3 linked regions of the Nothobranchius furzeri genome follow. The protein of the gene in region 1 binds, or shares a complex with, the protein of each later gene. Links are inferred from orthologs where the notes say so. Each region holds a gene or a part of one and is shown in the gene's direction. Other genes may lie near its edges. The genes, in order: mms19, ciao2a and ciao1.

Region 1 (3,656 bases):
AGACTGACTACAGCCGCAGCTTAGAGAAGAATAAGCTAAAGTAAGATGAAATGTGACTTTTATGATGATTTGTCATCTCTTTATATTTGATCTGTTTCAGGCTGCTTGCGGGTCAAAATATGATCACAGAGACTTGGCTGAATTCCTCCAGGGACTGTGGACGTCACTGCGCAGAGAGGTCTGTAGTGTTTTACAAAGTTTGAGCCGTTTTAGTTTAACCCTGGCTTTCCAATGGATGCATAACCATTTTAGCCATGAGCACCTTTCCTACTGGGAGTGTTTCAGGTGCAAACAGCAGCAAAAGAGCTCCACACAAATGGTCCGCAAAGTCACTGAAGGACCGGAAATTGCAAAACCACACATTAGATTTCAGATAGATGGCAGCATGTATCCGAAAAGGTCTGTGGTTTATTTCCTGTTTGCCTCAGCTTTGGAGGTGTTACAGGTAATGACGTACTTTTACTAGTTGATCAACTGAAAATCTGCAAGTGACTTTTATTTTGAAAGTTTCTGGATGTTTTACCCTGCTTTTGTTCAACTTCCTGTCTGACCCGATCTGAACTGCTGAGCTTGACATGTTCTGGAAGCGTAGTGTATAAAAAAAATTGAAGTATTCACAGCATTTCTGGGACGCTTTGCGGCCGGTGGAAACACCCATCCACTATAACAGCGGCTAATTGCTTCGTACTACACTTCGCTGACGTTGCGTGACGCTTACACGTCTGGTGGAAAGGCCCGGTGAACAACCCTTTTTTTCCACCCATTCAATGCTGCAAAAACTATAATTTAACCTCTCACATATTTATTTTTTTTCCCTTTTTGTCCCACATAAAAGTTTCAGATCAGCAAACACATTTCAGTGTCAAAGACAACCTGAGTAAACACAAAATTGAGTTTTAGATGATTTTTCACGCTGCCATCCAACCAGACGGGGGCTGGGCAATAAATTCAATATTTATCATTATCAAAATTTCGACTTTTATCATGATCGTTTTTTCCACAATAATAATGATAATAAAAAATGAAAAAGGTGTGTGTAGGTTGGCAATGTCCCTTTAAGATGCTGTACCACCTTGAGTCATGTAAAAATGTGACTCAACATAATGCACGTGACGATATATGGTGATGTTGATTTTAGGCCAAATTGCCCAGCCCTAAACCAGACTGTGCCATAAATAGTAAGTAAGTACATTTTTTTTATATATAGCACTCATCACAGACATAGAAACACAAAGTGTGCTTCACATAAAACAAAGTCATAAAATCATAATGATCTCAAAACAGAAATAGATTGACATCAGAAAACATAAAATTATAAAATTTCATAAACAGAAACAAAAGCCCCATTCCCACCTGTACCGGGTCGGCCCGGGCCGGGTAGCATAGGTTGTTTACATATCTGGGTGGCCTGGAATTTTCCCGGGCCAACCAAGGCTCATTCTCGGCCCTCTTCCCGAGGGGTACTGCTTCAGGCCGACCAGGGCCAACACGCCCACTGCTGACAGCAAATTCACACCTTCCATTAGAGCAAGCCTCTGATTGGTGGGTAGAATCAGCCCACATGGGCTTAAGGCAAGGATGTGTGGAATCAACCGGGCCAGGCTGGGGCCGACTGGGGCTACCCGGCCCGGGCCGACCCGGTACAGGTGGGAATGGGGCTAAATAGAGACGTTACTGTGAAACCCAGCCTCTTCACTGGTGTGTGTGCTCTCAGTACAGCCCCGTCTCCGTTTCCTGCCTGCAGGTGTTTCAGACATCCAGTGAGAAGATCGAGTCAGCAGCCCTCACCGCTCTCACCGCACTCACTTCCTGTCTGTCTCGCTCAGTGGTGAACTCTGATTCTGAAGACACCCTCATCACCCTCCTGGATCTGGTTCTAACAGGTGAACCAGTTCTTTAAAACGAAGGCTCCTTTTACAGGCAGGGTTTCATTAAAACCGTCTAATTAACAGCAGTGCAAACATCTTTGTGACATTTTCCCAGACTGTAAACATCATCTGTGCGAGCCCGACCTGAAGCTGGTATGGCCCAGTGCCAAGCTGCTACAGGCTGCCTGCAGCGCCTCCAACAGGGCGAGCCACATCATAACAGCTGCTGTCATGCCCTCTCTCATCGAGCAGTACAACAGCAGAACACAGGTCAGACCGAGAATCCGTAGTCATGTGTAGAGCTTTGCTGTTGTCATGGTTACTGAGTCATAAGCTTCTCTTAACAGTGTTCTCATAGACGTACGTTGTTGGAAGTGGTGCAACGATTCATCAAGTCAGTGAAAACAAACACGTCTTCAGATACCGGTGAGTTCATCATTCCTCTGATTTAAAGTTGAAACCGAGTTTATTTCATTCAAATAACAAACACTGATAAGACTCTTGAATTTTCACAAAGTAATCACTAGATTTACTCTTTCAGCACCTCGTGATTCACTTTGATTATAGGTCAGAGGATTGCAGTGTGATTATTATTCAGGCATATTTCCACCCCTCCCACCTTTTTATTGTCAAATCGATGTATTTGTACAGACCCAAAAAGAGTGCATCTCCAATAGAGCTGTAATTGTGGAGAAAGATCTGAGCAATAATGTTGATCAAGTAACTGAAGAGTTACTGCTCGCTCCCATAAAGGAGGATCAGTTTTGGATGCACTAGTCAACCCTGCTGCAACAACGAGCTAACACTAAGTGAGCCACAAAGTAAAAGATCCACCCTGTTGGACAAAAAATATTATGATTTACAAGTCCATTAGCAACAAAGCCAGGTCACCATCAGTCCGTGATGTCGTAGCCTCCTTTAGCTCCCTCAGACTAGCGTAGGCTGCACCAAAGTTCACTCTGGTTTTAGCTCTTTGCTTCAGCTCCAAAGACATTTTTGCTCTCTTACTTTTACTTTCAGGGTCCTCCATGATGCCAACAGTAAACTGTTATTGCCATAACGGCAGATAGAGACCTCCCACTAGTGTTCCAGCCTGACCCATTAAACGGGTTCTGCTGGTTCTGGTCAGCAGAAGGCTGTCTGATGTGATGTGGCTGAAGTTTGTGGCTAAAGTACCACTGCAACCAGTTTGAAAGCAATGGTTTAGCGTGTTAAAAACCTTTTAGTGTTAAAATGAACAAAATCTGTTCTTATATTTAAATCAGTTCAGAAACATGGACATCTTCCAGGGATTGATGGGACTTAAATCGCATGATCAGGCTCAGCCATCTCACACCAGTGGCATGGATGTAATTTTCACTTTAGAGGTGGGGGGACACGGGGGAGTGTATCTACAGTATGCTCTAATGGGAAACAGGCTTCAACACAAACGGTTGTTTTCCGCTTGGTCCTAGAGCTCAACCAGTGTCAATTTAATATAATATATATATATATAATATTTTTGGATGGTAAAAAGTGCAGGGGTCAAAACTTGACTTTGGAAAAAGTGGGGGGGGGGGGGGGGCCCATCTCCCCCCCCCCCCCCCCCCCCCCCCAGATTACGTCCATGGCTAGTGGTCTGTATAAAGATGCACATAACTTGTACCCATCTCTGGTGTTTGTAGATGAGAGTGTGCTGTCAGCGTACAGAGCTGCTCTTTGCAGCATGGTGTTTTCTGCTCTCTCCGAGAGTAATTCCAGTCTGCAGATCACTGCTACCACCGTTCTCACCTCACTGATACAACATAA
Region 2 (3,656 bases), on another chromosome or scaffold:
CCCGGGCCTGTATTAGAGGATTTACGGTATATGTATATACATATACGGTATGCTTGAGTCAAATACAGGCCCGGGCCTGTATTAGAGGATTTACGGTATATGTATATACATATACGGTGAATATGTGTATATATATATGTATATGTATGTATATATGTATATATGTATATACATATATATACACATATTCATATATATATATATATATATATATATATATACATATATATATATATATATATATATATATATATATATATACATATATATATATATCACGATAAGAGTCGTCTCAAGGCACTTCACATAATAAGCATTCCAATTCAGGTCAGTTCTTTAAGCCTATGAGAAATAATGTTTCGTATATAAGGAACCCAGCAAATTGCATCAAGTCACTGACTAGTGTCAGTGACTATACAGCAATCCTCATACTAAGCAAACATAAAGCGACAGTGGAGAGGAAAACTATATATATACATGTATATATATATATATATATATATATATATATATATATATATATATATATATATATATATATATATATATATATATATATACAGTTGTGGTCAGAAGTTTACATACACTTGTAAAAAATATAATATAATGGCTCTACTGAGTGTCCCGTTATTTCTAAAACTGATTTTTCTCTGATGGAGTGATTGGAACAGATACTTCTTTGTCACAAAAAACATTCATGATGTTTGGTTCTTTAATGTCTTTATTATGGGTTAACAGAGAAAAGTGATCACATTTGCTGGGTCACAAATATACATACAGCAACATGAACTAGCAATTTTGGTGACAGAAACGTGTCAGTGAACTGAGCTTCATAGCATGGCCTCTTAACTTCTTGTGAGTGATTATGAGTGACTACAGCTGGTGACTTCTCTTAGGCCAGGTAAATAGGGCTCATTGGATACAAACGCCCACAAACGCTACAATGGGAAATTCAAAGGAGCTCAGCATGGATCTGAAAAAGCGAATTATTGACTTGAACAAGTCAGGAAAGTCACTTGGGGCCATTTCAAAGCAGCTGCAGGTCCCAAGAGCAACAGTGCAAACAATTGTTTGTAAGTATAAGGTGCATGGCACTGTTTCATCACTGCCAAGATCAGGAAGAAAACGCAAGCTATCACCTGCTGCTGAGAGAAAATTGGTCAGGAGGGTAAAGAGTGAACCAAGAATCACCAAAAAGCAGATCTGCCAAGAATTAGAAGCTGCTGGAACACAGGTGTCATTGTCCACAGTCAAACGTGTTTTGCATCTCCATGGACTGAGAGGCTGCCGTGCAAGAAGGAAGCCCTTGCTCCAAAAGCGGCACCTTAAGGCTCGACTGAAGTTTGCTGCTGATCACATGGACAAAGGTAAGACCTTCTGGAGGAAAGTTCTGTGGTCAGACGAAACAAAAATCGAGCTTTTTGGCCACAATGCCCAGCAATATGTTTGGAGGAGAAAAGGTGAGGCCTTTAACCCCAAGAACACAATGCCTACAGTCAAGCATGGTGGTGGGAATATTATGCTGTGGGGCTGTTTTGCTGCCAATGGAACTGGTGCTTTACAGAGAGTAAATGGGATAATGAAGAAGGAGGATTACCATCACATTCTTCAACATAACCTAAAATCATCAGCACGAAGGTTGGGTCTTGGGCGCAGTTGGGTGTTCCAACAGGACAATGACCCCAAACACACATCAAAAGTGGTAAAGGAATGGCTAAATCAGGCTAGAATAAGGGTTTTAGAATGGCCTTCCCAAAGTCCTGACTTAAACCCCATTGAAAACATGTGGACAGTGCTGAAGAAACAAGTCCATGTCAGAAAGCCATCAAATTTAACTGAACTTCACCAATTCTGTCAAGAGGAGTGGTCAAAGATTCAACCAGAAGCTTGCCAGAAGCTTGTGGATGGCTACCAAAAGCGCCTAATTGAAGTGAAAATGGCTAAGAGACATGTAACCAAATATTAGCACTGCTGTATGTATATTTGTGACCCAGCAAATGTGATCACTTTTCTCTGTTAACCCATAATAAAGACATTAAAGAACCAAACTTCATGAATGTTTTTTGTGACAAAGAAGTATCTGTTCCAATCACTCTATCAGAGAAAAATCAGAGTTTTAGAAATAACGGGACACTCAGTAGAGCCATTATATTATATTTTTTACAAGTGTATGTAAACTTCTGACCACAACTGTATGTATATGTGTATATATATATGTATATACATATACATACATATTTATATATGTAGATATGTATATATATATATACATATATATAAATGTATATACATATACACACATATATATATAAATGTACATATAAATGTACATATATATGTAGATATGTATATATATATATATATTATATGTTATATATAAAACAAAACAATAAATTCATGACTCCGCATTGGTTTCAAACACATGTATTAGAGTTTTGCTGCTACCACCACTTCCCCTCTCAGGCTGCCCCACAGCCACGCCCCCTCCCGCCTTGCTGGCTCCTTGAAAACAACTTTGTTTTTTAACTCTGCTAGCCCAGCTGATTCAGCAGTTTGTTTGTGTTACTGATTTTTTGGTGCTTTTTCACTAGTCTCATGTTCTGAGTGGTGAAAATGATTAATTTCTCCAGTTAATAAACAGATCAACGATAAGGAGCGGGTGGCAGCCGCCATGGAAAACCCCAACCTGAGAGAGATTGTGGAGCAGTGTGTCACTGAACCTGATGACTGAAGGGCCCAATGCTACATCAATAACTTTTTTAAGTGCGTGTGCATGAGTGAACACATGGAGGAGGTTGGATGCTGGAATCAAGTCCAGCCTTTAAAGACAGCAGCACCAGTTGTTGCTGGTGAACAGCCTGGTGTTCCAGAAGAAGGTGAATAAAGGAAGAAGAGAACACACCTCCTGCTCTACTTTTATCTCTCAACTTTCTCTCCATCATTCCTGCTGTTCACCATTCATGTTTAATCAGAACAGAATAAAAATGGCTGTTTTTCATTGCATTGACTCCTATTAGATCTTTTGTAATTCCTCAGGTGATTACCTCTAATTTGATTTCAGAGTCTGGATGTTTAGGATGGGGTTTTATAAACAGAAATGAAATGCAAATAAACTCAGAATAAAATAATCAGGTTTGAATATAATCCTGTCTCCTGTGTATTTGAATCAGAGTAAGTGTTTCAGCAGTGCTTCCTACAGATAAAACGTTATTTTGCACACATCTTAGGTTTATTTATTAAGCACTTTTAAGTGCTTCTCAGACAAGAACAATAAAACTGATACAATGATCTTAGAAATAACTATCTCACACACACCCATTAACATCACTCTTAACCATATAAAACAATATAACATTAATGTCAACATATATTTTCTCTGAGTGCACACACAAACACTGATTATACCTCCACAGTAATATTTCATACAGGTCACACGAGCTGTAATGAGCTTTTAACTATCAAGTACAAAATGATACCAGCCAGGTTTTAGTTTGTGTACCACTCTTCAAAAAGCTGATTTGGATTGGCTGCATGTGTCACTGTAGCATCACTTGATCTCTACATTTATGGGATGCAGTGTGTTGATGGATAAAATAATGGGCAGATGAGATGTGTGTCCCATCTCATACAGACCCCAAATAAAAGAAGGTGGTATG
Region 3 (4,017 bases), on another chromosome or scaffold:
ATTAGCAATGTCATAATCAGCAGGGAAATTCTCACTGCTATCCTCCATCTCAGAGAGCAGCTCTAAGGCCTGCTCTTCCTCTTCAGTGGGGTAGTGGCGAAGAAGGTTTGCAGCTGTGGCGAGGATGGATGCTCCACCCGCACCTGCCACCAGGTAGAAGCTGATAGCAAAAGTGACATATATAAGTGAACCGTGGTACTTCTTGTGCTGCTGCTGAAGGGACAAGATCAGCTCTGAGGCCCAGTAGCAAAAGCCTATGACTGTGGCACACTGCAACACTAGAAGGAAAAGGAAGTCTGTTAGCACAGGTAAATATGCAAAATGTTTTGTGTGTAAATGAAAGGTTTGTACCTGTGAGTATATGGGCAAATGCATATCTACGAGTGATCTTTAGGGCAGGGTGTTTCGGTCCAAACACATCTAACAGAAAAGCAGTTAGACTGCATAGGATGCCCAGGAAACAAAAGGCAGCTATGACCCTCAACAGCAGGATGGTCTGCGGGTTCACACAGTAATCTGAGGATACAGAAACGTCAAAACAAACAAAAACCATTACGAGTCAAAACAATGATCGATAATTGCTGGTTGTAAAGTAATTGTGCAGGTTCTCACCATCTAGAAGCTTTGGATCAATGTAACCCAAGACATCCGCAACCCCCAGCTCCTGCCTGGGACAGGCGCCCCCATGAACACGCACCCAGGCCGGCTCAGCCAGAGCCGTACACAGCGCTGTGATGGACAAAGCTCCGGGCAGCGCTGACACCAGGCTGCGCTCCGGCTGCTTGGGCAGGGAGGTGGCAGTTCTTCTTCTCCGGCCACCAGGTACGGTAGAGCCCGGCGGAGCATACATGATTACCAAATCTCTGTTTTTGTAGGAAGTGTTGGTTCCCTTGTCTGTCCTTTTCCTTAAGGTTTATAACTGGGATTAGCCGCCTGACACAGCTGTCAGTCGGTACAGCTGATTTTACCTGTAGTGTTAAAGGATGATAGCGGTCCAGGCGACTTGTTAGATGAAAGATATACAATACTTCCGTACGAGAACCAGCTGCTCGATAAAAAAACAGGATCTGGCTGACGAGGAAACAAAAGACAGATGGCCTTCAGGCCTGTTAGCTGTACTGTTAGCCCGATTAGCTAATTCGCAGTAAACGTCAAATATAATAAATTCTTATGACAGGATTAAAACGAATACAAAAAAAACATATAAACGCCAACCTAGAACCCAATCTTTACAACAACAATAAATAAAAATATATTGTTTTAGTTACAGAAAAACAAACAGAAAACAAAACAAAAGACAGCTTACGCTGGTTTCCTCTAAAGCATTGACTTCCTGTTTCCACCGGGTTTCGTCGTAGCTACAGTAGAACCTGTGATCACTAGCCCCACCTACCGGTTAAAAAAACTACACAACGATGAAAACTTCTCTGCATTTACCATAGACTTTAAATCTTATACATAAATCTCGCTTTTTTTATGAATAATTATATATTTTATTACGACAACTGAATTTGTTTCCGTTTATTTAAAAAAAATATATTTAAGTTTGTTTTTAAAGGAAGACGGAAGCCCACAGTGTGCACTTCCGATAAGCAAAGATGGCGGCACGTCAGTTGTGGATGTTTCTATGAACTTCTTTAATTTGCTCTTTATTGCAAGTTAATTCCTTATCTTCTCAAAATATGTTAATAGTGATAGTGGCTCTGCTGCTTTGATGGGTTTTGTTTGAGTTTCTTATCGGATTTTTCTGGGAAGGAAAAGACAAAAGTGACGAGACCTGTTAACTAAATATTTAATAGTCATTAAGTCAGTATGAAGGAGACTCTCACGCTGCTTCACAGGCTCAGCGCACACCCGGACTCTCGGTGTTGGTTTGTCGCTTGGAGCCCAAACGGGACTCTGCTGGCTTCGTGTGGCGGGGACAAGGCCATCCGGATCTGGGGACGCGAAGGTAGCCTGTCATCTCTTTCTCTCTCTTACACACACACACACACACACACACACACACACTCTGATTATTAGTTATCTGTTGGTAAAATAATTAATCTATTGACCTCGGTGACCCCCTCTATCCGTAGGAGACTCCTGGGTTTGTAAGAGTGTGCTGGAGGATGGACACCAGCGCACCGTGAGGAAAGTGGCCTGGTCTCCATGTGGAAATTATTTGGCCTCTGCCAGCTTTGATGCAACTACATGCATCTGGAAGAAGAATAACGAGGGTTTTGAGGTTAGATGAGACCTCTGTTGTTCAGTGGTGTGATTAAAAAAGCATTTAACCGTGAACTTGACACATTTGTAAATGTCTTTATAGAGTTTGACAGTGTTGGAGGGACATGAAAATGAGGTCAAATGTGTGGCGTGGGCTCCATCAGGGAACCTCCTGGCCACATGCAGTCGAGACAAAAGCGTTTGGATCTGGGAAGGTTTGTGTTTATTTACACATGTAATAAATACAATTTGATCAGATCTGGTTAATAGGTGTTTTCCCTCTGTCCCACAGTGGATGAAGAAGATGAGTATGAGTGTGTCACAGTTCTAAACTCTCACACACAAGATGTTAAGCATGTAGCGTGGCACCCGACCCGAGAGGTAGACTCAGATCTGTAGACATTATCTCCATCTGTAGCTCCATTCTCATTTTTGAGGTTATTGTCTGTTTCCTCAGCTCCTGGCTTCGGCCAGCTACGACAACAACATTTGTATTTACAAGGAAGAAGACGATGACTGGGAATGTCGCGCTACTTTGGAAGGACACACCTCCACCGTCTGGAGTTTGTGCTTTGATGCAACTGGACAGAGGATGGCGTCCTGCAGCGATGATCGCACTGTGAAGATTTGGAAAGAATATCCCTCTGAGAGTGGTCAGTAGTTATGAACAGTAACACCGAAGCCATTTATTTACAAACAAATCCTTTTTTTTACCTGCTCTGTATGTTGAAAGGTGACACGTCCTGGAAGTGTGTTTGCACTCTGTCTGGGTATCATGGACGAACAGTGTATGATGTGTCCTGGTAAGACTGAACTTCTATCAGTGATCTGAATGAATTACCTTCAAACTGACTTAAACACCATTTGTTCAGGTGTCCGCTGACTGGCGCCCTGGCAACTGCCTGCGGTGACGACGCAGTTCGAGTTTTCAGAGAGGACGTGACCTCTAATCCAGAAGAACCTGTATTCTCGCTGGTTGCTCAGGTAACCAAAGCTCACAACCAGGACGTTAACTGTGCTTCCTGGAACCCGAAAGAAGCTGGAATTCTTGCCTCCTGCAGCGACAATGGAGAACTTGCCATTTGGAGGTTCAAAGAAGACTGATTCAGTGACAAATGCACCGAAGTGCTTTTGGTTTTAGATCTCATACTGGGAACTTTATCTTTAAGGCACCACATCTGTTATTTCATGGCTTGATTAATCTCGTTTTAATTTTTGTGATCGGAAAACCGCTGCAGCTCATCTTGTACACTTTTTAAAAATGGCTTAATCAAACATGTTTATGAATAAATACAAAAACACAAGACTGTGTGGTTTCATTTTAATAAAAAGAAAAGAACATGCCAGACAATAGATTCTTAAAAACATGTTTACTAATCTAGGGAAAACCATTTTACATCTGCAATGTAACTTTAGACATAATCTGAAACCAAATTGTTGCATCTTTTATTTTAAAAAGCAAACCTGACAAGAAAAGTACAAAATTATGCTTCCCATATTTAAAGCAGTATTGTCAGTGGATCCAGCTGAATCCAAAACATGCATTTCATTTTTAATACGGAAAACAGATCCTGCACACCAATTTTGGACTGTTTCATCAATCGGGTCACTAAAAAAAACTGACATACTTTGGGCAAAAGTGAGAAGTTTAAATTCAAAGAAACAAATCAGGTTGAATATCTACAACACACCCATTGATTCCCTCTCAAATGGAGACAACACAGTATTCAGTAAAACTTAGTCTGAGTCACTTTCTCCCTCGCTGTCGGCCTCCTTCACATCCACACTGAACTTGTACTCCTGGTCACA

Evidence for each region.
Region 2: mms19 (region 1) and ciao2a share a complex: the UniProt entries of both Homo sapiens proteins name them as parts of the CIA complex. The link is inferred for Nothobranchius furzeri from reciprocal best matches to the Homo sapiens genes MMS19 and CIAO2A.
Region 3: mms19 (region 1) and ciao1 share a complex: the UniProt entries of both Homo sapiens proteins name them as parts of the MMXD complex. The link is inferred for Nothobranchius furzeri from reciprocal best matches to the Homo sapiens genes MMS19 and CIAO1.

The regions. Positions count from the first base shown.
Region 1 is NC_091756.1:28,167,366-28,171,021, reverse strand, and holds part of mms19 (MMS19 nucleotide excision repair protein homolog), read left to right. Parts: intron 1-100; coding exon 101-178; intron 179-1,744; coding exon 1,745-1,883; intron 1,884-1,983; coding exon 1,984-2,138; intron 2,139-2,215; coding exon 2,216-2,294; intron 2,295-3,532; coding exon 3,533-3,656. UniProt on the Homo sapiens protein: Key component of the cytosolic iron-sulfur protein assembly (CIA) complex, a multiprotein complex that mediates the incorporation of iron-sulfur cluster into apoproteins specifically involved in DNA metabolism and genomic integrity.
Region 2 is NC_091744.1:55,351,692-55,355,347, forward strand, and holds the end of ciao2a (cytosolic iron-sulfur assembly component 2A), read left to right. Parts: intron 1-2,630; coding exon 2,631-2,731; 3' UTR 2,732-3,144; downstream 3,145-3,656. UniProt on the Homo sapiens protein: Component of the cytosolic iron-sulfur protein assembly (CIA) complex, a multiprotein complex that mediates the incorporation of iron-sulfur cluster into extramitochondrial Fe/S proteins.
Region 3 is NC_091757.1:37,107,933-37,111,949, reverse strand, and holds ciao1 (probable cytosolic iron-sulfur protein assembly protein ciao1), read left to right. Parts: upstream 1-1,575; 5' UTR 1,576-1,812; coding exon 1,813-1,951; intron 1,952-2,078; coding exon 2,079-2,227; intron 2,228-2,311; coding exon 2,312-2,423; intron 2,424-2,500; coding exon 2,501-2,589; intron 2,590-2,665; coding exon 2,666-2,861; intron 2,862-2,941; coding exon 2,942-3,011; intron 3,012-3,080; coding exon 3,081-3,312; 3' UTR 3,313-3,512; downstream 3,513-4,017. Other genes in the region: tmem127 (transmembrane protein 127), read right to left, coding at 1-278, 352-516, 613-850; snrnp200 (U5 small nuclear ribonucleoprotein 200 kDa helicase), read right to left, coding at 3,946-4,017. UniProt on the Homo sapiens protein: Key component of the cytosolic iron-sulfur protein assembly (CIA) complex, a multiprotein complex that mediates the incorporation of iron-sulfur cluster into extramitochondrial Fe/S proteins.